Linked DNA regions of Oreochromis niloticus. The protein of the gene in region 1 binds, or shares a complex with, the protein of each later gene. Links are inferred from orthologs where the notes say so. Each region holds a gene or a part of one and is shown in the gene's direction. Other genes may lie near its edges. The genes, in order: ints1, ints7, ints4 and ints2.

Region 1 (7,379 bases):
ATCTTTTTTTTTTACTCTGGCTTTATGCCAGACAAGCAGACTGGGATAGATTTAAAATGAATGTCATCATTTATGGCAAATGACTCAACAGTTCAACCTTTTCCCCCGAATCACATATGGAATCAATTGTTTACTAAGGATGGTTGGCTCCGTCCTTTCATCTGCGCTGGAACCTGCTTCGAGTAAAAAGCAAATAAACCAGATGAGTAACCTTCTTTTTGTACAGGTTACTTGCATCACATCACAGATTATAGATGAGACGAGACCCAAATGAGTTATTAGAATAACTGTTATTGGACTGTATTAAAGATGAGCTTAAGTAAATCAGGATCACATATTAAGTGAAATAAGATGATGGGATACAATGCAGAAAATGTAAATAAAAAATACAAAAGTTTGTTGTATTGCTTGTTTTCTAGAGAATGTGCAGACAGAGAAAAGAAAGAGATCAAACTGGAGAGTCTCTGCAGGACCACCGCGAATATTCTGCACCAGTCAGACATCCAGCTGCTCAGTCAATGGCATAACCCTCAGTTACTGTCCATCTGGCAGCAGCGTATGCCGGTGACCTGAAATACACCCGATGTGTGAAACAAAACAAAAACAGCAAAACCATGTGCAGCAGACTTGCCGGGGTTTTTGTCAGACCGACGTGCTGTGGGGTCTGGGTTCTTGCGGGCAGTTTTGAATTACAGGAAGTAACATTGACTCACTAATCTGGGTTCTTTCTGACTCAGACTTCTCAACTCCTAAGAAATCTGATCTGGTACAAAGAGGCCCACTGTTGTAAGGGGATCATTCCTTTTCTTCCAAATACTCCAAATGATTTGTTAGCAGAAGAATGGTTTTAAGATATTTATAGGATACTTTAAACTCACAGCCAATTAACTCACACTGCATTAAAAATAATAATAATCCTGTTTTCCTCCCACTAGATCCTTCCACATTGTCCAGGCACAACTTGCTGAAAATACCCGACATATTAGACAGCCAGCTCTGGCACAGTCTGAGCTGTACGTAATTTCGAAAGCTAAAAAACAGCTTTTTTTGTACATTTGTAGACTTCACATGTGACACAAGATTTAATTTGGAGCATTTACTGAACATTCCACTGACTTCACCAAAATGTGTTTCATATGAAAACACTTTACGTAACCAGCTGGCAGCTTAGAGCAGCATGGAAATGAACATGGTGAGGTTACAGTGGTAGTGATGGCAGTACTAGCTGGAGCAAACACTGGTGGACTGTTTAAAGTCTAATACCAAGGTTCTCTTTTACGCTTTAAATGGCAAAAAAAAAGTGAGTTTGGGAATTTGCAGACAGCAAGAGAGCAGAGAGAAGGACAGAGTAATTTCTCTTTTTTAGTCCTGTCACAGCTGAGCAATGCTTAAGGAATGAACAATTCACTGCTGCTGACTATGGGCGGGACTAAATATGGGCATTATAAAGTGTAACGCTTTGATGCTCTCCTTTTTTTCCCCTAAAGCTACTGATAGCTGTAAATTTGAAAAAAAAAGTGAAGATTAACACTCAAAATGAACACTGTTAATTCTCCAAATGTAACTATATACAGAAAAGTTTAGTCACTATAAGCATAAAATAAGCCTCTGCTTGCAAAGTGACAAGTGGAGCCTGTCTTAATTAAACCCATCTAGAGTTTGCTGCTTCACTTTGAAATCATCATGCCACGATCTTAAGTTCTCTCTTTTTTTTTTAATTATTTTTTTAGGTCCACAATTCCACTCTCAGTAAAAACTGTAGATTTTAGATGGCTGCCAGTTTTTACTGAACCGGCTGCCAAAGCAAATCCAACCCCAGAGTGACAAAACCCCTAGTTTTAACTGGAGGAGCTGCAGGTAGCTCATGCAAGTGTTGCTGTCAAAGCAAAGGTTTAGATAATCAGAAAGAGATGGCTCCCTGTACTGAAGATGTGGCAGGGAAAAAACTTTGATGTTCAAAGCAAATAATTTAAGAGTAAAATACATTTTGCCAACAGGCTAAGGCTGGGAGCTTTAGAATAATTTGTTCTGGATAGACAAATCAGAGGCAGATTTTTGGTTAAAGTAACAGTAGACATGTTTGTCACACAGGGAGCTTAGTAGATGAAGAAATGGCAGAAATGGTAAGGTCTGGGGTTGCTTCCTTTCTCTTGGGGGGCTGGGCAATCATTCATTGAACTATAAATTCTGCATCATAACTAAGATTATTGGAATATAATATGAGGCTACCTGTCTGAAAAGTGAATCAGAAAGGGACATTTCAACAAGGCAATAATTAACCTCCAGTCCACTCTGGAATAACTCAAAAGTAAGAACTGTAAGGTGATGGAATGGCCTTAAAGACCAGAGTTCAAAAAGGATTTGATAGAGGAACTGCTGTTTGAAAACCCTCCCGCCTATGGTTATCTGGCAACTGAAGGAATTTTGGATAGAAGAGTGGTTAAAAAATTTCAACCACCCAGTGCCAGATAGTAAGCAATTATGCAAAAACTCTTAAAATGGTTATTTCTGCTAAATGGGGCAAAAAAGCACCTGCATCCCTCCACAGAAGAATATTTAATCTTCATATTTTAGTAGAATAGCTGATTGACCTGCATCTCATTCCAGACCTTTGGCTGCGGTGTTTTTGAAAGCGAAATGCAGTTCTTTTATTAAGCTTAAAAGCAGCCAAAGTTTTGCTTGGATTTTATTTTTTTCAATTAATTTTCACAAAGGATGAAAGTAATTAAACGCATGATGTGAATCAAATGAATTGACGAGAGCTATCTCGTCTCTTAATTCATAATAAAGTGCTTAAAACTCAGAGTTCAAATGCAATGCTTGCCTTTTTGTCCTCCGACTTCACAAGGGAACACAAAGGAGACTAAAAATGAAGGTTAAATGATAAAGAAGAGGGGTATTTTTTCAAGCTTGACCAGTCTAAAGCTGTAGTGAGGAACAGTGTGCAGAAATAATGATGACTATGATTATGAGATGGCAAAATATCTGCAGACTCTGGCACAAGTGATGATGAAAAAGCTTTCCAAGGCAATGACTGAACCCCATTAAGCAAATGCCAGTAACTGCTTAAAATGATTCACGGTTTTGCAGCATTTGAGTCGGAGTGATGACATCTGCTGGCCATTTCTTTATCTTTCACTTGGGATTTTAGAAAAGACCTCATCAAAAAAGCTGAGTCCAAGTATAAAACATTGCTGTTATTCTCATATTTTTCTCCAATAGAAAGAGATTTTAGAGATTCTATTGAAAAAAAAAAGAGATATTTAAATATAAATATACTTAAATACTGTAGACAGTAGTAAAATTATTATTTCTGTCTGTTTGTGTGACACTGATTTCAACTTAACTTTACCATAGACTATTTCAATTAACACATATTTATTTTTCATAACATGCGTTAACATCAGTAATTTTGATACAAAAACATTTTTATCAACACATTCTTGTTTATTTTTATTTTCATGTTATTAACACTAAAGGTAGAAGAAAAAAATGTGAATCTTTAGCGCCCCCAATTGGTAATATCACGTAATTACTTCGCTTTTTAAAAAAAAGAAAAGAAAAGAAAAGTTTTTTTTTATTTTGGAGGTGACCGGAAGGTGTTTTAAATTAAGTATTGACCAATGGTATTGACCAATGACAGTACACACAAATATACACGTTCCTCTGCTGTGGTACAAACCCTGTGGTGTACAGCACGTTTCCTTTCACGTGTATTACATTAGCATAGATAGTACTGTGGCAGCATTATACACACACTAGCTATGTTATATTAACAGTTAATGGAAACAGTTATGTATTATGAATCTATAATGTCGTTATCGCCCTCTGACGATCACCGTTGGCTCGTCAGCTTACGGGAACAATGACATAATACGACTTCCGGTTAAAAAAAAAACTTGTTACAAAATTTTACACAAAGGAGAAGATTTGTCATGTCTACCAAGGCAGATGTGGTTAAATGATAAGTTTTTTCCCCGCAAATAAAACTGGCTAGACATATATAGTTTTTATTTTTAGATTTTTAACTTTTTTTTTTTTTTACCGCAAACCACGTCTACTGGTACTGAAGCTGGGGAATAAAATCATAAAGCTGTGATGGCGCAGTTTTGTCGTAAATATTACACATGAGGGTTAAAGATAAGAATTCCACCATGATTGGAAGAGTTAACCATTTTAATCTGTAAAAGTCATTAAACACAAAGGTTTGCTGCATAGACATTTAAGGATACGGCGAACTATTTTACTTTGAACTGATTGGAAATGCCTTAATAATAAAAAGTTGAGATAAGAGAGCAAGTTCGTATACAAACTTGGTGTATATACACAGCACGACGAGCAGGAGGTGACGCTCAAAGTAGATTGTACATGATCCTCCCTGGCGCTTGGTGGCGCTTGTTACTTGTTACTTGTTGGTGTTATCGAGTAATTTCAGTCGAGAAAAAGAAGCCACAACGGCTCTGTCTGTCTGATAGCTTTGAGGCGGTGAATGACTTTTTTTGTGTGAAGTATATCGTCCAGGTATCAAATCAGTATGACTTTTATTGAACATATTAATCAAACGACTTACGGTTGATTTAAGTTAAATGAAACCTAACGCCTGTTAGTTGTCAGTGTTAACGTTTAACGTCGTGCTACTAGTCATATTAGCCATAGTTTTCGTTGTTAGCCTAGCATTTTTTGTCTTGTGTGTTGTAAACATGTAATTAATAACCTTTATAGTGCTAAGCGGCATTGAACACATCCTTCTTGCTAGTCTTCTTATGCAATGATTTACTAGCTGTAGAGATTTAGAGAGATTTAAACTGCTATTTGTTACTGGCTTTTACCTTTGCTGTTGTTACTAACTTCATGTTTATTTATTGTTTTGTCCTACACAGGCTACACATATGACACATACGACACATACATGTCTCCCGCTCTACTTTGATTGTAATTGTGCCTACCAGTAAATATGAATCGTCCGAAGCCTACAACTCTTAGGCGCCCCAGTGCAGCGAAACCATCAGGTCGGACTACTTGTGCAACCAAATCCAATCTTAGCTGTGTGTTCCATGTTGAATAGCACCAAGGCAGGAGAAACTAAAATTGTAACATCTGCATTTTTGCAGGCCATCCCCCTACAGGAGATTTCATTGCTCTGGGCTCTAAGAGCCAGGCAGGAGAGCCGAAAGCCCCTGCTGTCCTCCTGAAGGCAACCTCTACAAGTTTACCTGCTGACCGCAAGAGAGAGACTTCCTCCACTCTGCCATCCTCATCAGGGCTAGCCAACCTAACCAAGCGGCCCAAACTATCCACCACCCCTCCTGTCAGTGCCCTTGGACGTCTCGCTGATGTTGCTGCAGTGGACAAGAGGGCTATATCGCCCTCAATAAAGGAGCCATCAGTAGTACCTATTGAAGGTAACTTTGAAGCCTGTGCATTTCTGAAGTGTTGTAAAATTTGAGATAGAAATGTCAGAAAATCTTCAGGTGACAACTGACAAGGAAATTAAAAAAATATGTTTCTATATGGCAGTTTCTCCAGCAGTGCTGCTGGATGAGATTGAAGCTGCTGAATCAGAAGGAAATGACGATCGCATTGAGGGATTGCTGTGTGGAGCAGTGAAACAGCTCAAGATGAACAGAGCCAAGCCCGACATCACACTTTACCTTAGCCTCATGTTTCTGGCCAAAATCAAGCCCAATGTTTTTGCAACTGAGGGAATTATTGAGGTAATTCTTTTAACACAGTTATTCTTCAGTACATATACACAGATGAATAATGTATAATATATCAGCATTGCAATATTTTGCCAAGTGAACCTCAATGATTTGACAAAATCTTTGTTACTTTCCATGTGTTACACTTGTGTCACTAGGCCTTGTGCAGCCTCCTGCGTAGGGATGCTTCCATCAACTTTAAAGCAAAAGGCAACAGCCTGGTCTCTGTTCTGGCATGCAATCTGCTGATGGCAGCATACGAGGAGGACGAGAACTGGCCAGAGATATTTGTCAAAGTGAGAACGCCCACAAAACTCAAACATATTTCTGTCATGCATGAGCTCTTCTTATAATTTGTCCTTCTGACGTATACTTTCAGGTTTACATTGAGGACTCTCTGGGTGAAAGAATCTGGGTGGACAGCTCTCACTGTAAGAATTTTGTTGACAACATTCAGACTGCTTTTGGAACGAAAATGCCCCCAAAGAGTATGCTGCTCCAGGCTGATACAGGCCGCTCTGCTGGAGATCTGAGTGCAGGTATGGTACATTCAGGTTTCTGCAAGTCAGGATTACTGATGTCAGAAACAAGTGCTGATTGGTCATGCTGCTTTTGATCTTTAGGTAGCAGCCCTCATCCATCAACCCCAGATGAGGATGACAGCCAGACTGAATTGCTGATAGCTGAGGAGAAACTCAGCCCTGAGGATGAAGGGCAGGTTATGCCAAGGTATGAAAGCTACCAACATAAATGTGACAGCCATAGCGTACAGTCTGTGTGTTCAGATTTACAGCATATATAGGTAAAGCGGTTAAATTTTCACAATTGAACAATGAAAAATGATTGAAACAATGCATTGAGCTCCTTGATCATTTTGTGTTTATTGTTCTTATTCATTGGAAACTTGTAGGTATGACGAACTTGCAGAGAGTGTGGAGGACTATGTGCTTGATGTCCTCAGGGATCAGTTGAACCGCAGGCAGCCGATGGACAATGTGTCCCGAAACCTGTTGCGTTTGCTCACAGCCACATGTGGCTACAAAGAGGCAAGACTCATGGCGGTGCAAAGGCTGGAGATGTGGCTCCAGAACCCAAAGGTGAAACATTTGATACTGACTGTGTTAAATAAATCCATAGTGTTATATAGTTGTACTAATAATATGTTGCAGGATTTGTGTAAATAAAAGGTGAAATGTGGCCTCTAAAGATACAAATATTGCAATACATTAAAAGTAGGTCACTAAGCATTAACTTGCTTTTTTTGTGGTTGCAGTTGACTCGCCCTGCTCAGGACCTCCTGATGTCTTTGTGCATGAACTGCAACACGCACGGAGCAGATGACATGGAGGTTATCTCCAACCTGATCAAGATCCGACTCAAACCCAAAGTTCTGCTTAATCATTACATGCTATGTGTCAGGTCTGTAAAGTTGTTCTTATTGTCACACGTCTATTTTGTCATCACAGTCAGTAATTCACACTAACTGGAGCTTTGCGTGTATCTTTGCAGGGAGCTACTAAATGCACACAGAGACAACCTGGGAACTATGGTGAAGCTCGTGATCTTTAATGAGCTGTCTAATGCCCGGAATCCCAACAACATGCAAGTCCTCCATACAGTGCTGCAGCACAGCCCAGAGCAAGCTCCAAAGGTAAAACTAGATCGTTTGGAAACATT
Region 2 (7,099 bases), on another chromosome or scaffold:
TGTGAATATTAGATAGAAAGCACTTACATGGGAAAGGCATAGAAAAAAAGTGCTTGTATGAATAGGTGTAAATGAGTAAATGAGGCAAGTTGCACAAAAGTGCTTTGAGTGCTCAGAGTAGAAATGCGCTTTATAAGAACGAGTCCGTTTAACAGTTACTGATTTTCAGTCCAGTTTTTGTGTGAGTTAGCATACCCCAGACTTTTCTCCCTGCTCCCTTTCTTAAGAACAGCCTGAGACCGATGTTGATGAGGCTTCAGTTAACAGCAGACGGATCAACTAAAGGGCTTTCTTTGAAGGACACACTGCACACAATGCCAAAATACACCCAGGTTTTCAGGCTAATGGTTCTTTGGGAAACACCTTGGTGGTGCAAAAGTACTATTTTATGCCTTTCAAACTGAGTGGTCGTGGCATTTTTCATAAATTCAACTAAAGAAACAGGAAAAAATTAAGTGTTTTTGCTACAGGCTGCTAGTAACAAAGTGGCTAAAGATATGATTTAAAATTTATTGCTAAATTCACTATTATTGTTCTGATCAATACCTTTTTTGCTGCATCTCATGTCCCAGACCATAATATTTCCATCTCTGGCTCCAGTGGAAAACACAGCTGTGTGACAAAAGAAAATGTATTAATCACATGATACAACAATATATCATCAATGCACAACCAACACGGTGTTAGCTCAGTAAAAGGTATACCTTTCTCCTCTGGTGCAAATGCAACAGACTTAAGACTGCAGAGGTGGCCCTTGAAGCTGCCTAACAACTCTCCAGACTTCACATCCCAGAGCCTGGCCATCTGGTCACCCGCAGCAGTTACCTGAAGAGATCACAGATGACCAAAGCATAATAAGAAAAGGCTTCAGAGTTTTTAATGAGTTCCAACAAAATAAAGAACAAAAAGAAAAATTAGTAAGGTAGATGGAATTACATGAGTCATGCATTTGAGGGTGACGCATAAAGATCTGACTTTCTGCAATTCTCTGACTAAACAGAATAAATTTGCACTTACTAACTGAGCCTCCCCTGGCATCCAGGCGATATCAAAGACAGCATTCTCATGAGCCAGCCATGCTGCAAGGTTCACACACATTTAGCCACCGACATTTCAAAATACATGACATGACAATTATGAACACAAGTCAAAAGAATACCTTTAAGAAGTGGATATTTACGGCTCTCTGTGTTGTAGAACCTAACAATGCCTTCTTCATTAGCTACTGCGAGGATGTTCTGCTGGTCCCTGGCTGAAAACAAACAGCAGAAACGAGACACTGCAGTTAGACAGATTAATGATAACAGGTCCTTGCACTCACAATGATAAGCACAAATGAATTACCAGAGGAGAAAGCTAATCCAAACGGTGGCACAGAGTCGCCAAAGTTCCCATAGGAGATATGTTCATCATGTCGGACACATCGGTAGCCTTCAAGCAGGGAGCTCAGAGGGTACCTGGACCAGGGATCTGCAGGGAGAGCTGAAGAGAATGATGCATGGTCAGAGGAGGGAAATCAATGAGACACAGCAGTAAAACTAACGGAAAAATCATTGCAGATTTAAGTGGACAATCATCAAACTGCTTTGAGCTGATATTAAGGCAACTGTAACTCAAATAACCACTTGTTACAATTAAGATATGCAGAAGAGCATCTCTGAGCATGCAACACATTGAACCTTGGAGTCATTGCAGAAGAAGACTACACCAGCTGCCGCTCCTGTAGGCCAAGAACAGGATCCTGAGGCTGCTATTCACACTGGATCAACAAAATTGGACAACAGAACACTGGAAAAACATTGTCTAGTCTGAAAAGTCTCGATTTCTGCGGTGATGTTTGGATAATAAGTTCAGAATTTGATGTAAACAGCATGAAAGCATGGATCCATCCTGCCTTGTATCGACAGTTCAGGCTGCTGGTGGTGTAATGACGTGGGGGGTATTTTCTTGGCACACTGAGTATCATGTTGTTGTTGCTGACCATCTTTTATGAACACGGTGTACCGATCTTCTAATGCAGGGGTGTCAAACATACAGCCCAGGGGCCACAACCGGCCCGTGTAAAAATGTCAAAGAATGCCTAAATGTGGATTTTCGGTTTGTACTTGTGAACCGATCACGCCACGAGAGTCCAAACTGACGGTCCAGAGATTTGACTCATTGTCATTTTTACAGCCTTCTTAGTAACAAACAAATCACCCCTGACCTGCTATACTATACCAAAATAAGCACTAGACACCATTAAAAATAAAATAAATGAATAGAAAACAGAAAATTAGCTGGGTTTTCATTATAAACGAATCAATGGGCAAGTTCCTATTTTATTTAACAGGAAAAAATAGGATGTATTCTTTGAATTACCAGAAGATTTTGAGGTTTTTTTCTTTTGGGACCATTTACTATAATCACCTGTATGTGTAATGAATTTAGACTGGTAACAGTGAGGCTCATATTTTATATACATATCCTTAAAATTTTCATAATATACTCAAACATCTTCCCACTTTCCATTAGTCTGGTAGTCTGCAGCAGCTTGGCCTACTTCAATTTTATCTATACGTGACCTTTTACTACGTGACACCCTTGTCTAATGGCTGTAATGGCTGCTTTCAGCAGGATAACACCATGTCACGGAGCTCACTTCCTCTCAGACTGGTTTCTTGAACATGACGATGAGCACACTGTACTCAAATGGCCTCCACAGACGCCAGATCTCAAGCCATTGGGATGTGGTAAAACAGGACATTGCATCGTTGACGTACAGTCGACAAATATGCAGAAACCGTGTGATGCCATCACGTCAATATGGATCAAAATATCTGAGGGACGCTTCAACCAACTTGTTGAATCTACGCATGGAAGACAAAAGAGGGTCCAACCCAGTGCTAGCCAGGTGTACCTAATAAAGTGACCTACGATCATAGATCGGCACGCTCATCTTCTCACTTGCTCTTGAGTTGTATAAACCAAAGCCAATCAAAATGTGAGAAACTGTCCTGATATGTACTACAGGTATAAGGCAGGACATATTGTTGATCTACCACCCGTTGGAGTCTGAACAGCCCGACAAAGACATTCACGAAGAAAGTAGAGTTAAACGTTAAAGTCCACACTGAACGCAAAAGAAAAGCAAGTGCAAATGATACTCTAGGAGCCCTCCTGGCAGCATGACTCCTCCAAATATAAAGCAGAGATGTTAGACTGCATTATCTTCCATGGTAGACTAGCTAAAGCCCAGCCATGGCCGTGCAGATAACCCAGATCTCCCCAAAAACCCATCCCTGTCTCACCATTCTGCCTCCGTCTGCCCACTCCTCTGTCCACCACTGAGCGGAAAAGCATCCCTGCACTGCAGCACAACTCGATCCTAAGGCTTTTGTATAAAAACGTAACGTTTTCCTCGATGTTTAGCTACTGGTGGTCCGCTTTCCCTACCGATGCCGGGACACTGTTTCCCGCGAATAGATCGTCCGAGCAGAAGGACTGAATTCCCCGCTAAACTTGCGTTACGCGCAACCATTGGTGGAAACGGCGACTTCCTGGGCAGGAGCGCTTCTGCTTCCGCTTTCTTTGTAAAGTTTCCCACCATAACTGGAGAAGGAGACGCCCCTTCAGCATAAATAAATATTTTTTAAAACGATTAAACTAATAACTAGCCCCTCTTTGCATAGTATGTTTATCCTGTTAGACAGTTGTTAGTTTAGTAAATACACTTTGTTGTATACAACCACTGCCAAACAAATGCTGCATGTATATGGTGCATTTAGTGGTGCAAGTATGTGTGACAACACACAATTTCAGGTTGTGCGCAGTGTTGAACTAGAAAATGAATATCTGTGACTGCAACAAAAGTTATGAAAATCACAAGTAAAAATGTTCTTTTCAACAGAAGCACTAAAGTAACAAAGGTTTAAAAGTCACCATGACTATGATATCTCCAATGTAACTGTTGTTATTTAGAGTATTATGGTGTTACCGATTCATCCATAATCTATCATTTGATGCTAAGGTGATACTAGAATAATATACTAATACATATTTCACGTAGATATTTAACGTAAATCTATTTTATAAATAGTCCCTAAAACAGCTTGGTAGCTCGCGACCATGACAACTGGCGTTTTATTGTGAAAGTCAATCTCCAGACCGGATGTTCTGTCTCTGTATCCTCAGTGTTTTCCTGAATACCGCCTGAACAGTGAAATGCTAATATCTCATGAGTGTATCTTCTTTTAAGGGGTAAAAACTGCACAGTAATGTCGCTCTCCACCGCACGCTCATTCCTGTCAGAGGCTTGTTATGGCGAACAGGAGCTCGACGCTAACTCCGCTCTCATGGAGCTGGACAAAGGTGTGTTAGCTCGCTGGCTAAAGACTTAGCATATGGTTCATTGATTGTGTTCTGATCCGGTGTGTCGTTTCCTCGTAATGTGTTAAGTGGAAGCTTCCTGCTTTGTTGTGACTGGAGCATTTCCACTTTATTTTCAGGGTTGCGGTCGGGGAAGCTCGGTGAGCAGTGTGAGGCTGTGGTTTTGTTCCCCAAACTCTTCCAGAAGTACCCATTTCCCATCCTCATCAACTCTGCATTTTTAAAACTAGCAGACATCTTCAGGCTCGGGTATGATTGCTTTAGATGATCATTTATTTGTTAAAGGCTACTTTACTGACAGTTGTTTCACACTTTCTTTATAGCTGAATCTAATACAGGCATCCCAATGCATTTCAGAGTGTAGAGAAAATTTTAATAACATCTCTAAGTAATTGAGCGTACAGTTTAACCACAAGCCTAAGCCGTCAAAAGAAAATGTAAACACTATTCGCACACTCATGTAGTTCACATAATCACTCCCAAGCTAATGCAAAAATAAAATAAACAAACTCTGAAACACCAAAAAATAACAGATAATAGATTTTCTTCTTATATTTAATGAATAATTGCGTGTCTTTGATGTCTCTAATGAACTTGATGTTTATCAATCTTTAAAAGTACAAGATACTTTAAACTAAGCATACCCAGTAAACTGATCATTGAGGGCAGGCCTGTTAATGTGTTATTGTGTTGTGTTTGAACTGTAGTGAGATATTCAGGGAGTATCTGTGTATTTTATTTTACTTTAGAAAATAAAAAAAAAATTAAGAAAAGTATGAATAGATGTAAGTACAGAGGGAAAAATGTTGGTGTGAGAAAGGTTTTAAAAATAAAAAAACTATAATTATTCTTCATGAAAAAAAAGAAAGGGAAAAAGTTGACGGAAAAGAGAGAGAGAAGGTTCCAAATAAGAGGATTTGGGGAAAAAGTGAATTTATTTCACTTTAAGAAAGAATAAGAACTATTCTTACTTAAGTGGATTTTTCAAACTTTAATTTTATTCAAAAGTGCCTAAATAAATAAATGTGCGCATCTTATGCACTTTTTAATAGAATGTTTTTGAAGTTGGTAAGATGTATTTAGAAGGTGCGAGAAGTTAAAGATGAGCTTTACTGTGCCACAAACATCTTATTTCTCTTTTCCAGTAACAACTTTCTGCGTCTCTGTGTACTCAAAGTGACTCAACAGAGTGAGAAACATTTGGAGAAGATTCTCAATGTGGATGAGTTTGTGAAACGGGTGTTTTCAGTCATCCACAGTAATGACCCTGTGGCCAGAGCCATCACTCTGAGGTAACAATGTGAAATGATGATTAAAAACGCGAGTGGCGCATCTGACCCTATCCCTAGCACACTCTTCTGTCAACCCTCTGCATGTCCTCCTTCACTACATCTACAAACCTCCTTTGTGGCCTTCTTGCCTGGCTTTGGCATCTTTTGTGCAGTGTATCCAGTGTCATTCCTCTGCACATGTCCAAAACATCTCAGCCTTGCCTCTCTAACTTTTACTCCAATATGCCCAACCTGAGCTGTCCCTTCTTTCCTATCCTGTGCATTCTCTGTAAGAATCGTAACATCTTCATCATACATGTTAGCAGATCTCACTAACATCTTGCAAAACTTCTGCTTCACTCTTGCTGTTATCCTTCTGTCACAAATCACCCCAATACTAGTCTCCATCCACTCCACCCTGTCTGCACTATCTTCTTCAGTTTTGTTGTGCACCATCTTTTCAGTCATCTCAGATTTTTAAAAAGAAAATTCCTGCTGTCTTATGTGTTCAGGATGCTTGGTAGTTTGGCCTCCATCATCCCAGAGAGGAAGAATGCCCACCACACTATTCGCCAAAGCCTGGACTCTCATGACAATGTGGAAGTCGAGGCAGCCATCTTTGCTGCTGCAAGCTTCTCTGCACAGTCAAAGTAAGGAAACAATGACTAAAAGTGAGCTCTGATGTATGGGATGATGTTTTAGATGATTTTATTGTTGTGTGGCTTTTTAATTAATTTTTATTTTTTATTTTCAGAGACTTTGCAGCTGGAATTTGCAACAAAGTTAGTGAGATGATTCAAGGTAAGATCTTTATTCTTTACGTGAAGATAAACGAGAGCTGTCGTGGTTCAAAGCTTCATTGTCACTGATGTCTTTTATTTTTAATTGTCACACTAAACTGAGTACAGCCATTAAAATTATTCTTTTTTTCATTCTGAAATCACGGAGAAAAAGAAACACAAAACACTGCAAATACACATTTTGCTGAACCCAAAGAAAACATTTGTCACGTGCACTGCATCTTTTACATAATGTTTGTATTGGTCTTTTCTTCCACCTCAGGTTTAGACACTCCTGTGGAACTGAAGCTGAAGTTGATCCCCATGCTGCAGCACATGCATCATGACGCCAGCCTGGCGTCCAGCAGCAGAGAGCTTTTACAGCATCTGGTGAACTCTTATCCTTCCACCCCCATGGTCATTGTCTCCCTGCATACTTTCACCCAGCTGGCCGCCTCTTCCCTCATAGATATCCCCAAGCAGGTAGACCCAACTTGCTCGCACACAGCTATGTGTCATTTCTTTTAGTTTGTTGTGGTGCACCTCTGATTTGGTTCCTAATCTGTTTGCAGCTGCAGCTCCTCCTTCAGTACCTAAAAGATGATCCGAGAAAAGCTGTGAAGAGACTTGCAGTTAACGATTTAAAGCTCCTGGCTAAAAAGGCTCCTCACCTGTGGATAA
Region 3 (6,988 bases), on another chromosome or scaffold:
AACTTATTAATTAAAATTTGCATTTAAAAGATTTGAAATTTCATTTTATTCATTGTTATTTGTTACCTATTTATAACTCTGACTTTTATGTCTGTTCTTAATCTTTGATGCAGATCTGTAGTTCTGAACTGTAGCCGAGCAATTGATTGACTTTTTTTTTTACTTTTCCTTTGTTTTGTTTTTTTGTCGTATCATTTTTTTAAATGAAAATTACAGACTACAAAGTTGGACTGTACTGTAAGACCATATTAAAGAGCACAGATGTTTGAATATTACTGGATGCTAAATTGCTCCTTTTAGATCTTTCATGTCTGAGTATATGAAAGTTTAATCAGATTTATTTAAATAAAAAATCTCTCGGTGACAGGTGCGAGGTGCAAAAAGAATGTGTTTATGTACAGCACAGTTGGAGGAGACGCTCTTCTTCCATGCATGGCGTCCTCAGACTGCTCCGCCATCTCCTGGACCTTCTTTAACAAAGGCACGGACGTGCGGTTCGTCCACGAGGTGGTCAATGGGAAGGTGACGGCCGATTCAGACAAATCCAGCCGTATGACCTTCACATCCAACTGCTCCATCAGCCTCCGCAACCTCAGGGTGCGGGACGCTGGATCCTACGTCTGCCTGAAGAACGACCAGCCTGTCACTGACGTTTACCTCTCCCTCCTCACAATCTCGTCTTTCTCCACCTTCACCGACCTCCAGCCTGGAGGAATCCTCACCCTGACCTGCATCTTCTTCACTTATTATGACGCAGGGAGCTGCAAGTCATACTCAAAGAGCGTGTTCGGCCTGAGCTGGGTGGATGAGGATGGGAGAAAGCTGCCCAACAACAGCAGGTTGTTTTTTTAGGTCACTTTAACTTATTTCTGTTAATCATAAAGACTATTGCTATAAATAACCCATAACACATGTTGTGCTGTATTGCAATAAATCATCTTAACAGATAACAAAGATCAGCGCAAACATTTTTAGTTTAATCATTTAAAAACAGCTAATACCATTAAATATAAAATACGAGAAAAAGTAAAAAATCTATTTGTTCTTTATCTAAGGAAGAAAATATTTTCTGTTATTAAAAAATCTAAATTGTGAGAGTATCTGAGCAGTAATTAGGTAGACGATGATGTAATACAGACACGTATACACAGCAAAATACACAAAATGAGTATATGAGATAAAGACTGAATTAAAAAACAACCAGAATTATAAACTTATATTTTACATTATAAAAGAAAATGTAAGTCAAATTAAATTATTGTCTCAGACCAAAAATAAGAGCAGAAATGTTCAGGTGAACACTGGTGATGAACGACAGCTGTGTGATGTTTCTCTGTCCATTTCACCTCTGTGCAGGTACAACCTGAACGGCCACACTCGCTGCAACATCACTCTGGTGACAAAACTCCAGAAGGAAGACAACAACAGGAGGTGGAGGTGCCTGGTGAACACCACAGAAAGCAGCAGAGCCGTGTTTCTGGACTTCAGGTCTGCCTTTTTGTTCCAAAATAATGATGATGACAGCCTGAATCCTTCGGTCACGGCAATGTGTCAGGTGAAGCTGCCCATCAGCCGCATCGTGCTCTGTGTGGCCCTCCCGATCATGGTGACCATAGTGGCATTCTTCACGTGGAAGTCGGACCGCGAGAGGGCCAAAGCATCAGCAGAATCCTTCATGCTCCACGAGATCAACTGAGCGTCCATCACTGCAGGATTTTTGTACTATTTTAACTTCTCTGGCCCCTTTTCAATCATGACATCCTCATGGATCCAGTATGAGAATATTACTACAGTTATGTTGCAGTATTGTATTATTAATGGCATATTTTATTAATAATTTGTGAAAAATTTTAATGCAAAAAAAAGGTTCTTGTTTGCTTTTTAGTTCTTTGTTTGTTTGGTTTGTTAAATTTGTTTTTATTGCACTGTTTAAATGTGAAAAAGACGTTGCCTGGATGCGATGTGTTGCTATGTTACATTGTTTTAAAGCCTGTATAAATCTTTCAGCATTGATGGTACATTTGCAAGCTGTCCATTCCACAGGCACCAATGCATGCCCATGCAGTCAGAGATGCAGGTTTTTGAACTGTGCACTGGTAAGTCGGACCAGGGGCGTAATTTCCAGGGGGGGGGGTAGGAAATTATGCAAATTATGAAATTTGGGGGGTTATATGAATTATATGAAAATTATTAATTATCTTGCATAAATAGGCTGTTGATTTTCTTTACAGATTTCAGGTATTACCAGCAAAATCATCTGGGAATTTACCCAGATTTATTTATTTATTCAGACAGTGATCTTGACCCCCCCCCCCCCCCCCCCCAATGTTCAGCACAATGTTACGCCAATGAGTCGGACGGTCACTCGTCTCATTAGTCTGGAAGACTCTACAGTTATTTTTTTTTTAAAAAGTAATTTCAAATTTCAATTCGTCTGACCACAGAACAGTCTTCCACTTTGCCTCAGTCAATTTAAAATCTTTGAGCTTTGGTCCAAAGAAGACGTTGGTGTTTTTGGATCATGTACACTTTGCATGACAGAGCTTGAATCTGCGTTTGTAGCTGGCACGATGAGCTGTGCTCACAGACAGTGATTCCTCAGAGTTTTACTTGGAATGCCCATGCACTGATTTCTGTGGCAGAATCATGCTTGTCCCTTGCACACAGTAATTTCCCAGATTTTTGGACTCTTTTAATGATATTATGTTCTGTAGATGATGATATATTGAAAGTCTTTACAATTTTACAATGGTAAACATTATTTTGAAAAGTTTCCACAATTTGTAGACACAGTTTTTGGAGCTTGGTGAACCTCTGTCCATCATTACCTCTAAAGCGCTCTTTTTATACCTGGTCATGTTACTGACCTGTAGTTAATTAACACAATTAGCTGTGAAATGTCAGCTGATGCTTTTTAGTACCACTTACTTTTCCAGCCTTTGTTGTCCCAACTTTTCTCAGATGTGTTGCTGCCGTCAAATTCAAAATGAGCTAATGTTAATGTTTTGGTGTTGTATGTTGAATAAAATGTTGGTTTATGAGATCTGAAAATAATTGCATTGTGCTTTATTTACATTTTACACAGCATCCAAACTTTGTTGACATTGGGGTTGTAATTGTCTGAAATCGCTAAAAGTGTGCGAAGATGCAAGGTCATCGCTTCACTGCATTACACAGCTACAAAGTATTACAAAGCTAAAACAAATAATAGATCACCCAAACCTCATTACTCACATTTGCTTAAATAGAAAAATAGTAAATACGTGCAGTGATTCACTGAAATATGCATATATACCAAACAAATAGGAAAAAAAAAAGAGTACAATTCTAACAAGTTTGAAAAGTCCATATTTGGCATGATCACCTTTATTCATCAGCACAGCCTGAACTCTCTTTCACCGCTGTCTTGTAATTTCTTTAAGTGGTCTTCAGGAATAATCCTCCAGGCTTCTTTAAAGCTCTTCTTTGGATGTCTGCTGCCGTTTGTTCTGGTTTCTATCAAGATGATCTCACACTGCTACAGTGATGCTGAGTCTTTCCAGATTGTATTGGATTCCTAATCAGAATCTAAGTTTTAACAAGTTCCCCACCATCACAGGACCCAGACCACAACAGAGCCTCTTGTAGAGACCCTCTGCTGTACCTCTCTCTTGACCTCCATCTGTCAAATTTCCTCCAAATGTTAGAGACACACTGCACATTATGTTGAAATGTGCCTAATTGTAGCTAAGTGCCTAAAGTATCAACTTAAAAGAGCTTCTTCTGCTAAGTTGCCTGTTACGTGTAGACATAATATTAGTTTCTCCCTTGACTTAGAGGCTGTCTTATGCTTGAAAAGGTGAAAAGGTGTTTAGTGAAAAAGAAAGAAAATATTTTTGTATATTAAATCTGACATAAACCTATAAAAATAAACAAAATGAAAGTATATATAAATATTAATATCCAAAATAATAATTAAAAGATCGATGTAGCGGACATGGACAATATCAGGAAGTTACGGAAACTGTAAAGGGACAATTTATCCTGCTGCTGAATGGAAACGCTTAGCTAACTGTGTGTTCATAAACATGGCAGCACATCTGAAAAAGCGAGTTTATGAGGAATTTTCCAAAGTTGTACAGGTGAGCGCATTATAACCGTCTCGTCAGCTGTTGTAAACTTAGAGTTTAAAGGTTAAAAAAATCGCAAAATGTTACCATTCTGCGCCAAGTACCGTGTTAGCTAATGCTAAAATGTAGCCGCTCACAGTCACAACACAACATGGATCCTCTGAGAGTTTAGTGCAGAGGAAAAGCACTAAACTTGTATTCTGTTTAGTGTTTGTATTCTTAGATTTTATTTAATGCATTAAAAATTGAAGTTCTTCTGTAACAAAATGAACCCGAGAGCTAACAGCCTCAGACTGACTAAGAAAGCTGCTGTTAATTTCAAAAAGCCTTCATGACTTGACAGGATTTGAACTTTAAACATTTTATTTGAGCTGCTGTCTGTTGGTTTGCGGCATGTTGAGCACAGTATCCACTGACAGCGGCATTTTACGCTTTGAAAGCTCAAAAAGAAACCGACTTGTTTACATCCGATTTAGCATTAATGTCAATCATTCATCCGCTAACTGAGCTCATTCGCATGTTCTGCGTTTTTCCTGCACAGAGGAACATTTGGCTCCTCTCAGAGAGGATTTTTAGCCAAAGTAAGAGGAAACTGTGATAGCTGTTCGAAGCAGTGCTGTTATTAGCCGTTTATGCGTCATGTCATTCGTTTTTGTGGATCTTGTGGCTTCACTAAGCAACAACATCCAGCTCACAGTGGGGCAGTTTGTTGTTAGTGTGATGAGAGCTGGCACCTCCAGGTCCGAGGCCACGCGATGGTTTGAGCTTCTTACTGGGAAAGCTTTAGTACGCCTTCTGGGTGAGATGTTTCAGGCATGTATAACTTGGGGGAGACCCCTGGGAACACCCAGGCTTGGAAACACCTCAGTACCCCCCAGAAGACCTGGAGGAGGTGAAAGTAGAAAGAGGTCTGGGTATCCCAGCTTAGACTGCTGCCCCTGTGACCTGGATTAAAAGAACAAAAACAACAGAGGAGAACATGGATAAATGGACAGTAGCTCTTAGTATATATGATCAAAAAGAATAGATGATTATATATCAGGAGATTACAGATTAGATGCATTTTGTAGTTACAACTGTTTTTGCACTTACAGATTCCACATGAAGAAACTCCAGCCAAAAAGCTGCGTCTGTCCAAACCCAGTAAGTCTGCCGCTCTCCACATTGACCTCTGTAAAGCCACCAACTCCACCGATGCCCTGCAGTACCTGCTGCAGTTTGCACGCAAACCTGTGGAGGCAGAGAGCGTGGAGGGTGTGGTCAGGATCCTGCTGGAGCATTACTACAAGGTAAAGAGTTGTGGGTGGTAACCACGACCATAATAATAAAATACAGTACTTGATATTTTTTTCTCCTTTTTTTTAAAATAGAGTTGATAAAACCAGAATTTCTAGTGTCCTAAAAAAAAGTCAAACTTCTAATGATGATGATTCTTTCTTCCAGGAGACGGATAACTCTGTGAGGCTGAAGATTGCCTCTCTGCTCGGCCTGCTCTCTAAAACGCAGGGCTTCAGCCCCGACTGCATCGTTGACGATGCCATTAACACGCTCAGCAATGAGAGTACGACATATCTGAACATATCTAAGATTTATCTATCTCCAAAACTCAGAGAAACGTTCATAGTAAACTGTTTTGTTTCTTTGTGTGTTCAGAGTCCCATCAAGTTCTCGCCCAGCTGCTGGACACTCTGCTGGTCATTGGTACGCAGCTGCCCGAGAGTCCTGCACTCAGACTGAGGCTCGTAGAGGTGGCCTACAAGGTGACACAAACAAGCACTTATTCAGGGTCCATACACAGAAGTCGTCATTACAAACTCAACAGGACTTTCTTCACAAACCAGTAAATGTCCTCCTCATTTCTCTTCTCTCCTCTTAGCATCTCTCTGATACGTATTTTGGGGTGAGGAATAAGTGCCTACAGCTCCTGGGATGTCTCGGCATGGTGGACGCTCCTGTAGGAAAAGAAAACGAGGGCCCGGGCACATCCTTAGGTTTGTATACATAGTTATATATTTATTATATTTTCTCTAAAGCTTAAAATGTTGAAAATACAGAGAGGTAAATCCATCAATCCATCCTTCTGTATCTAAATTTGATGTCTTTAGTTTCATCCTCATATCGTATTTATGTGTCATTATTTATTGTGCTTTGTGTTGCTGTGTGATGGTTTTTATGGCGGCCTGCTATTTTACCTCCAGGAGGATTGAGGGATGTCCAAAGCATTATCAGCGACTACTTTGGAGACCAAGACCCCAGAGTCCGCACTGCAGCCCTCAAAGCCATGGTAGGAAAACCCTGCAACCCCCCCTGCACTGCAACCAGCACTACACTCATGTGTTTAGAAACCACGCACAGTGAGCTTTAAGGAAAACAACCCACTCTCTTTTCAAGTTTCAGTAACTCTGCTCGCTCTCTGTGCTGTTGTTTGTTTTCCAGCTGCAGCTACATGAGAGAGGGATGAAGATTCATCAGATTATTTATGATCAGGTACAAGCAGAATACGTCCTCACAGCTTATTGCACTCTCACTATAGCTTTGGATGTTTAATCCAACCTTCTGTATGTATTCATGTGTGTTTGCAGGCCTGCAGGCTGCTCACAGATGACTACGAGCAGGTCCGTTCTGCAGCAGTGCAGATGGTTTGGGTGCTCAGTCAGCTGTACCCAGAGAGGTGAGGAGACCCAGATTCTCATACTCCGTTTCAGTCAGTGTAGCTGTTGAGTTTGTTCCGCTCTCTGGATCAGAAACCACAACTGATGTGTGAAAAGACAAATCCTAACTGCTGTGTGTAAGAACTGTCTCTGCTGAAGTGCAGAAACCTTCATGAAACTTCCAGGTGTGACGACTTTATATTTAGCCCAAGGCTATGTATGTTCTCA
Region 4 (7,685 bases), on another chromosome or scaffold:
GATTCGTGTTCGTATTGTGTCTCTTCACTGACCCTTTCTCTCTCCTCTGTGCGTCCTCTCAGACTCGGTGTCGACAGGCTCGGTGTTTGGCCGCAGCACCACCTTAAACATGCAGACGTCGCAACTTAGCACGCCGCAGGACACTTCCTGCACCCACATCCTGGTCTTCCCCACCTCTGCCATCGTCCAGGTCGCCAGCTCCAATTACACCAACATCGACACCAACATCGACATTCTCAATCCCACCACTGGTCAGTTGTTCTCCTTTATCGGTCTTTCACTCAGCAGCTGTTTCTTGTTTGTCTCACAGCAATCACGCCTTTCAGTGCAGTTTGTTTCCAAATCCTCCCTGTTTACCTTTCTAGTAGTCATGGTTGCATACATTCTTTCTGCATCTATGGCAGCCTCAAGGGTCTTCAGCTTATTTCTTTTGTGAAAAATGCATTTGTTGGTCAGAAATAGAAGCCATATTTACAGTCACAATTTACATTACAGTGAATGGCACACTCACCCTCAAATCGCAGATCCTATTGAGCTGTTCTCTTCTCCACAGATGGCTCTGATGCTATAGGGATCTTGGCCCTGCTCGACCAGGAGAACGATTTAGTGGATCCAGACATCATCAACATCTCACCTACCACCTCCCCGGTACACTCCCCTGGCTCTCATTACCACCACGGAGGTGATGGCAGCAAGGTACAACATGTACATAACACACACACACACACACACACACACACACACACACACACACACACTGTGCAACATGACGCTTAAAAAGCAAAAAGTTCATCTCGAGTTTCCACCTCGTTGCAGGGTCAGAGTACCGATCGTATGGAGTCCCACGAAGAAGTTCCTAACCTCCTGCAGCAGCCTCTGGCACTCGGCTACTTTGTCTCCACGGCCAAAGCCGGCCCACTACCCGACTGGTTCTGGTCAGCCTGTCCGCAGGCTCAGAACCAGTGCCCACTCTTTCTCAAGGTACTACTTAAGAACGCTCTCGCATCTTTACTAGAGCTGTTCGATATGATGATATATATCTGATGACAATATGAAAACGTTTCATATTACGCTATCGTTTGTTTCATGGTGTCACAAAATAAACTGTTTACAGCAACAGTTTTTCATGGTTCTGATGGTCACTGTAGCGGTTATATGAATTTCTTAAAGTTCTCTCTTTCTCTTATATTTAAAATAACCACGCTACGGACGGATAAGCGACTGTTTTTATGTGTTGTCGTTAGCAACAATGACAGTAAACCCAGCGTGTGGCTCTGCCGTCCACTTGTTTATTTTCCACATAAACATTTCACAATAAAGCTGAAGATCCTGCTGAGATTTTTCAAAATAAACTGAAATGATGACAAACAGAAAGACCAGTCAAAACAAATCGAGGACCTTATTCCTAAACGAGGGGCTCCCTCTGTAGCATGGACATGGGTTGGTTATGAAAAGTCTGACACGGACCATAAAACTGTACTCTGCAAATTACGCAGAAAACCGGCCCCACCTCAGACTCGAACACGACAAACCTCTGCTACCACCTACACAAGATTCACGTGAAAGAGTGTGGAGAGAGTTTACGGAGAAGCAAAAAAAAGCCGCCAGGTGCTCCAAATAAACCTCAGACTCAAACGTTAGAACAGGCTTTTCCCCGCAGCACGCCACCTAATAAATACTCACAAAGAAAACGGCGGCTGTTACAACTTATGTCTAAAAATGTACAGCTTCATGCATCGGTCAAAACACCAGACTCCACGTGCACGACGCCCAGCTGGAAACATTTCACGCAAGTGGAGTTGCCCGAGATTCACAGAATTTACAGAAAATGTAACATTTGTGTGATTTATATCGTTGTTGGGACGATAAATGTCTTATATCAGGATATGAGACTTTGGTCATATCGCACAGCCCTTCTCCTTACCTTAGTGAATTTAAGTAGCCGTCCTGAACATTGTCACTCAAAGCCCAACACCAGTGTCCTGTGTGGTTTGCAACCCTGACCTTTTTTATCACCTGGCGGGTGTTCTACTAAAATGCACTGACACCTTTTTATGACAGAGCTCTGCGTGGCCATTATAAACAGTGCTGGTTGTTAATCCCGGTCTCAGCTGATTGCTTGGAAACCTCGCTGACTCCAGGAAGTCACCGCTCTGGCATAGACTTGGTTCACCACCCCATTAAACCACAACTATGTTGGAAATGCAGTAAATTTGTAAGACTGGTGAAGAATGTTGCTGCTTGAGCCAGTGTGATTGAAGCCTTGTGTGTAATCGCACACAATCAAAGTGTGTTGTGCTTATAATAAGGTAGTTCTGTTTTGTTTGCCTTTTTATCCATTGCTTCTGGAATTGGCTGCAGACTCACTGCTGTTACCATTCTGCTGTGAAAAGCTATCATTATTTAAATGACATGTAATGAAAGGTTGATAACTTCATTATAATGCTTCTGACACCACCTCTTCCCCCCCGTGCTTCCTCTCAGGCCTCTTTGCACCTCCATGTGTCTTCAGTGCAATCAGATGAACTGCTGCACAGCAAACACTCCCACCCCCTCGACTCCAATCAGACCTCAGATGTACTCAGGTAAACAACACCGGCACACACTCTGCATCAGGTCGAGTGCACAAATTACTATTACCACCCTGCTGACTGTGTTTCCAGGGTGAGTTTTCTATTTGTAGCCGATTTCAGACTGACGTTGGTTTGTGCACAATGCTGGCAAAAGTTGCCACATGTTTTAATGAAGCGGTGAAAACTGAAGCGTAACCGTTTTGTACGCCCGTGTTCCTCCACAGATTTGTGCTGGAGCAGTACAACGCCCTCTCCTGGCTGACATGTGACCCGGCTACGCAAGACCGACGATCGTGTCTACCAATTCACTTTGTGGTGCTCAACCAGATGTACAACTTCATCATGAACATGTTGTAAACATCGGGGCGTTACAGGAAGAAGGCAGCGGGGGTCATAATGAGTGAAAACCACTGTACGGAGCTGGATCCTGCACCAAGATGGGATTAGATGGTGTTCCAAGCCTAGCCAGTCCTTCTCCACCACGCCGCCCCCCGTGAGACTGGATATTCTGTCCCTGTGAATTAAAGACATGCACGTAGAGATAAGGGAATAAAAAAGAGGGGAAACTAGAAGCTGAATTGCATTCAATGAACGTGAAAGAATGACAGATTGGTTGTCATGTTATGTAGCGTGGCAGCACAGTCACTGGCCAGTCTGTATTGATGAGACAAGTTTATCTGTAAAGTTATCGGAAGAAAAGGGACATATTTGATCAAGGAAAAAAACCCAAGAATGGATCTTTGGTTTAAGACATGAAATTCCTTTTTATTCCTTTGGATGTAATTGTATCCAAACAAAATGCCTGCATTTATCTTATTTATTGTAAGTTTTTAAATGTATAATTTGTCTTATTTCTTAACCTCTTTTATATATAAAAAATGGAGAAGGTTTATATCACCTTCCTGCTTTAAAGCAATTGGTCTAAGATATATGTAATCGTCTTAATTAATAAAAACACCAGAGGAAAAAATCCCATAAAAATGAAAGTCCCAGTAGGTTGCTTTTAGAGTATTATTTTTTGTAATGGAGACAGAATATTTGTATTGTCACAATGTACAGAAGAATTAGAGTGGAGAATTATGTTTCATGCCTTTGAGCATGAAGACCTTACAGCAAAGCTGTAGCTACAGAGGACTTGTACAGCAATGAACTTCACTGTGTTCAAATAAAGAGGTACATTGTTGTATATAGTATTTTATACCACGCATTTAGACACAAAAACCAAACGGCAATATATATAAAATAATTCTATATGAATGCCATGCCAGCAGTTGGTGGTGTGGCTTCTGTTTTAGGAATAAAGTGCGTCAACTTATTTTCCTGTGCTTGTGTTTATTGCTTTGGGGAGGGGACTGATGTGCAATTGGACAAGGACACCGATAGTGGAGCGGAGTGACAACTATTGGCATCTCTTGGAAGTAGCTGACCTCAGGTTTAATCTTATTTCTGTTTTAATCCGTTTATTTTTCTTCGAGGAGAAAATGAAAGCAAGACTGTGAGAAGAGACATGCAGTGTCCTTTTCAGCACATCCCTTTATTGTAGCACACCTCTCCTTACTCCCATTGGCTGAGGTCTGCCTCCTGGCACCACTTCTGATTGGTTATGGACACATTTAGACCAGTCCCATTTTACTTCAGTGTGAAAGTAGATGTGTGGTGTAAATGAACTTTAACCAGCTACGGATGGCTGCCCGTTGGACATGCAGTGTTTGTGCAAAGAGAAACATGTTCTGTCTGGATGTTTCCTCCATAAACTGATGTTGCTCTTTATCTTTCATATTAGCCAGCGTCTGTTGGCCTGGAAAATTTGACCATTAAAATGTATTTGGTCTTATTTTGAGTGTAGATAAATACATTCAATATTTAATAAAACCTATGAAAGTTTATTTTGCCATGTTTTCTTTTTGGAAAATCATGGTTGTTTGCAGTAACCATCTGCGTCTAATATACAGTATCTCTGCAAGCTTGTTACCACACTATTCACATGTGGGAAAAGGCATTCGAATAACCACGCAGAGCCATTTGAGTGGGATATCTTGCTTGTAAATTGCTGAGTTGCCCCTGGGTGGCATGTAGTAGCAGCTGGCAGTTCATTCTTTGGATAATTTTCTGCATTTCCTCTCGCTGTCAGCAACAGAGGGATAAACGGGTCCTGCTCTCTGTTTTCCTTCACTTCTCACCAACTGCTGTCTGAATATTCTTCAAAATGTGGAATTTATACTGACACCAGAAAATGTTTGAGTAAGTACAAATCGAGATTAAATGGAGTTATAAAATGGCAGGAATCTAAAAGCCCTAAAATATCATCATCATAAGCGGTATTTGCAACACATTAGTGTAATCAAAATACTACATATTATTTTTTAACATTTCCACCAGTCTGACATAAGCTAGAATAAACGGTTTCCACAGTTGTCTGTCCGTAATAACATAGTCAAACTATAAAAAAAATTAAAACGTATCTAATTTAGCTGTAATTATGAAAGAATGGCAGTCCCCATCATATACACGCGCCTGTGATTTATCAGAGTGCTCGCAGCACGCGCAGGCTGGAGTACAGTCTGCAGACCGACCTCAGTCTTTGTTCGGTCATTGCTGCTTCACGGCACCCACGACATTAGTGCTTTTGCTTTCACAATATCCACAGTGTTCCCTGTGAGTAACGATGAGATTTAGGATAACTATAATGGAGTGAAAGTGCCAAACAGCGGCAAAGACATTTCCACAAACGTGCCGGCACAATCCAGGACAAGTTCCTCTGTTATTGGCTTAGGACTCTCCCAGATCGTGCGGCCGCGGGGGCTGACGGTACAGTCTGACGTCTGAAGGCCTCCGTGGTGATAACTGTTTCAAACAGTACGTGTCATCTTAATGAGCCAGGTAAGGGCGTTCTTGTGAATTCGTGTATTTATGTTACACTTCTGTATAGCTTAGACGGACCAGTCAACACAAGGTTGTCCTGTGACAAACTAGCCTAGCTTTTAGCTCTTAGCTTGCTAGCACTATGCTAAAAGTCTTTCCAGAAGCGAACGTACAACTGAATGAGTGTTAGCTACTGCTAGCTCATATGTAGCCTTAAAACATACTCAGCTACGAGTTCGAGCGATTTTAGCCGAATTGCTGGTGCTTTAAAAGGCATATATTAAAGATTTTTGAGGGTGAGCCCAGATAATATTTTCACAAGGAGCCAGAAAACACTAGTTCATGTATTACTCCCAGCAGTTGTTAGCATTTGCTTTAGTTAGTGGCTATAACCGGCAGTTATCTTGTTTCTTTAGTGGCGTGTAACAGCTTTTGTTTGTAGTGACTAAACCTATGAACAAGTTATCAAACAAAAACATTACCATCAGCGTACAGGTTACTCTCGCGTTAAAAATGTATATCGAGGAATGAATGGTCACATTATGACAACCGTTAGCGCTGCAACTTAATAAAGTTTATGTACTGTTGAAAACAGACTAGTAGACTGTAGAAAAAAATGCATCCAGTTTTCCTCTTTAAACTGTCAGTTTTGTCTGTTTTCCCCAAGGTGTATGCACGGAGCGATGGGAGACAGTGCAGGGCTGCAGTTTGTCAGCTCCTATGCTTTTGAAGCCATGCAGAAGGTGGATGTAGTGCGCCTGGCTGCGTTAAGTGATCCGGAGCTGAGGCTGCTACTGCCCTGCTTGGTGAGGATGGCGTTATGTGCCCCCGCTGATCAGAGCCAGTCCTGGGCACAGGACAAGAAGCTAATCCTCCGCCTGCTCTCTGGGGTCGAAGCCGTCAACTCCATTGTAGCACTTTTGTCTGTTGACTTTCATGCCTTGGAGCAGGATGCACGGAAGGAGCAGCAGCTTAGGTATGACTTATTTTCACATGGTAACACTATACTGGCACAGTAGTGGGTTACAGGGTGGGAAAAACTGCTTATCAGGTCATACATATACAGCTATGTTTGTTACCGTGTTTAAAAAAAAAAAAAGCCTACTTGGAGTTCATTTTAGCAGTATACATAATGTACCGTCTCCTCTGCCAGGCACAAGGCAGGTGGCTCTAATGCAGAGAGCATCCTGGTGTCACAGCTGCAGCACGGCCTAACTCTGGAGTTTGAACACAGTGATCCCCTCAGGAGACTCCGTCTGACCCTCAGTGAGCTCCTGGCTATCATGAACAAGGTACAGTCAAAGCTCTACTTATAATTCAGTAAATCTCTGGACACTGACGATGATGATGATAACTGAGCATTCGCATTGTAGAAGTGTGGAACAAACATCTGACCTGGGACAGATGTGTATATGTAAAGAAATGGAAGTGTGAATCATATTAATGAGTGTCACCTGTGGACTACAGAAACAAGATTGTGCTGCTTTCTTTAATTCTTCGTTAAATTTGAAATTTCTATCAGAATTACCCCTAAATCTCTGCCAGCTGCTCTCGCTTGGACTGAAATTAACTGCGTCTCAGTGCTGCTGTTGTCCTTTAGTAGATCCATCTTCATCTAATAGGGTGAGCTGGGTGATGCGTCCCTGTGGCCTGTTTCACATTCCCGTGTTGTTTCTCAGGTGGCAGACTCAAATGGAGAGTTTTTCTTAAAGTCTTCTGAACTCTTTGAAAGTCCCGTGTACTTGGAAGAGGTTGCGGATGTCCTCTGCATTTTACAAGCAGGTAAAACAAAGTCCTTTTGTTTGCAGGTACATTACAATAGCATTGCATTTAATGCAGCAACATTTATAGATAAGTATGAAAGGGAGCCCTCTTACTGCAAGTAATAGATGATATGTTAGTGGTTTATATATTATTCACATAACAGAATTCAGAGCAGAGAGAACCTGGTGAAGAGACAAACTTTAGACCTCACAACCCCAATACAGTATGGTTGTTTTTTTACATTTTTCCACACAGCCAAAGCACAGCATAGAAAAAAGTAGATCTGCTTGCAGTCACCTCTTAAACCACAACAGGAACGTGGCAAAGTGTTAAAAACATGCTGAAGCTCAAACACCAGTTGTTTACAGCACTTTGTCATGTAGCTGATTTCTGCTTGAAGAGGAGTCTGTAGCCAGCCACTCCCATCTCCTCCCAGCTTTGTCTTTTTCTTGTAAAAGGCAGTGACTTGCTTTTTGATAAATACAA

What was found.
Region 2: the proteins of ints1 (region 1) and ints7 are in contact, whole or in part, in a cryo-EM structure (PDB 8RC4), measured with the Homo sapiens proteins. The link is inferred for Oreochromis niloticus from reciprocal best matches to the Homo sapiens genes INTS1 and INTS7. Residues at the interface, in NP_001073922.2 of Homo sapiens: Leu1378, Gln1381, Gln1382, Gly1385, Gln1386, Ala1389, His1429, Phe1430, Leu1431, Cys1433, Pro1434, Arg1437, Gln1438, Cys1440, Gln1441, Pro1476, Ala1479, Gln1480, Met1483, Leu1484, Gln1487, Arg1552, Pro1554, His1555, Leu1556, Glu1557, Glu1558, Pro1613, Ser1614, Gly1616; in NP_056249.1 of Homo sapiens: His150, Asp151, Leu187, Ala188, Thr189, Pro190, Val191, Lys194, Thr223, Ser224, Tyr225, Pro226, Ser227, Thr228, Asn262, Asp263, Pro264, Arg265, Lys266, Pro303, Tyr304, Gln349, Glu350, Cys352, Tyr353, His354, Asn355, Arg357, Ala360, Gln384.
Region 3: ints1 (region 1) and ints4 share a complex: the UniProt entries of both Homo sapiens proteins name them as parts of the integrator complex. The link is inferred for Oreochromis niloticus from reciprocal best matches to the Homo sapiens genes INTS1 and INTS4.
Region 4: the proteins of ints1 (region 1) and ints2 are in contact, whole or in part, in a cryo-EM structure (PDB 8RC4), measured with the Homo sapiens proteins. The link is inferred for Oreochromis niloticus from reciprocal best matches to the Homo sapiens genes INTS1 and INTS2. Residues at the interface, in NP_001073922.2 of Homo sapiens: Gly561, Ile562, Ala563, Trp564, Asp565, Lys566, Gly567, Ser982, His1055, Met1056, Thr1058, Pro1060, Glu1095, Arg1096, Thr1098, Ile1099, His1102, Leu1107, Arg1225, Ser1250, Phe1251, Gly1252, Ile1253, Tyr1285, His1288, Glu1291, Val1292, Gln1293, Glu1295, Arg1296; in NP_065799.2 of Homo sapiens: Pro40, Leu54, Lys69, Leu72, Arg73, Leu75, Ser76, Gly77, Val78, Glu79, Val81, Asn82, Val85, Gly125, Thr127, Leu128, Glu131, His132, Glu166, Val172, Tyr173, Glu176, Arg322, Gln325, Gln326, Arg329, Gly400, Lys402, Thr769, Met772.

The regions. Positions count from the first base shown.
Region 1 is NC_031969.2:25,398,521-25,405,899, reverse strand, and holds the start of ints1 (integrator complex subunit 1), read left to right. Parts: upstream 1-4,360; 5' UTR 4,361-4,521; intron 4,522-4,880; 5' UTR 4,881-4,954; coding exon 4,955-5,009; intron 5,010-5,111; coding exon 5,112-5,402; intron 5,403-5,517; coding exon 5,518-5,714; intron 5,715-5,860; coding exon 5,861-5,998; intron 5,999-6,081; coding exon 6,082-6,241; intron 6,242-6,325; coding exon 6,326-6,431; intron 6,432-6,612; coding exon 6,613-6,799; intron 6,800-6,975; coding exon 6,976-7,121; intron 7,122-7,211; coding exon 7,212-7,353; intron 7,354-7,379. UniProt on the Homo sapiens protein: Component of the integrator complex, a multiprotein complex that terminates RNA polymerase II (Pol II) transcription in the promoter-proximal region of genes.
Region 2 is NC_031980.2:13,634,048-13,641,146, reverse strand, and holds the start of ints7 (integrator complex subunit 7), read left to right. Parts: upstream 1-4,099; 5' UTR 4,100-4,256; coding exon 4,257-4,350; intron 4,351-4,487; coding exon 4,488-4,617; intron 4,618-5,513; coding exon 5,514-5,660; intron 5,661-6,151; coding exon 6,152-6,289; intron 6,290-6,393; coding exon 6,394-6,440; intron 6,441-6,701; coding exon 6,702-6,901; intron 6,902-6,990; coding exon 6,991-7,099. Other genes in the region: dtl (denticleless protein homolog), read right to left, coding at 547-612, 705-825, 1,018-1,079, 1,160-1,252, 1,345-1,482, 3,291-3,342. UniProt on the Homo sapiens protein: Component of the integrator complex, a multiprotein complex that terminates RNA polymerase II (Pol II) transcription in the promoter-proximal region of genes.
Region 3 is NC_031979.2:36,510,307-36,517,294, reverse strand, and holds the start of ints4 (integrator complex subunit 4), read left to right. Parts: upstream 1-3,978; 5' UTR 3,979-4,067; coding exon 4,068-4,121; intron 4,122-5,203; coding exon 5,204-5,398; intron 5,399-5,552; coding exon 5,553-5,670; intron 5,671-5,762; coding exon 5,763-5,869; intron 5,870-5,985; coding exon 5,986-6,100; intron 6,101-6,307; coding exon 6,308-6,393; intron 6,394-6,545; coding exon 6,546-6,596; intron 6,597-6,691; coding exon 6,692-6,780; intron 6,781-6,988. Other genes in the region: uncharacterized protein LOC102082482, read left to right, coding at 368-839, 1,357-1,696. UniProt on the Homo sapiens protein: Component of the integrator complex, a multiprotein complex that terminates RNA polymerase II (Pol II) transcription in the promoter-proximal region of genes.
Region 4 is NC_031975.2:1,576,166-1,583,850, forward strand, and holds the start of ints2 (integrator complex subunit 2), read left to right. Parts: upstream 1-4,677; 5' UTR 4,678-4,806; coding exon 4,807-4,814; intron 4,815-5,097; exon of another isoform or gene 5,098-5,453; intron 5,454-5,533; exon of another isoform or gene 5,534-5,731; intron 5,732-6,102; coding exon 6,103-6,411; intron 6,412-6,588; coding exon 6,589-6,727; intron 6,728-7,114; coding exon 7,115-7,217; intron 7,218-7,685. UniProt on the Homo sapiens protein: Component of the integrator complex, a multiprotein complex that terminates RNA polymerase II (Pol II) transcription in the promoter-proximal region of genes.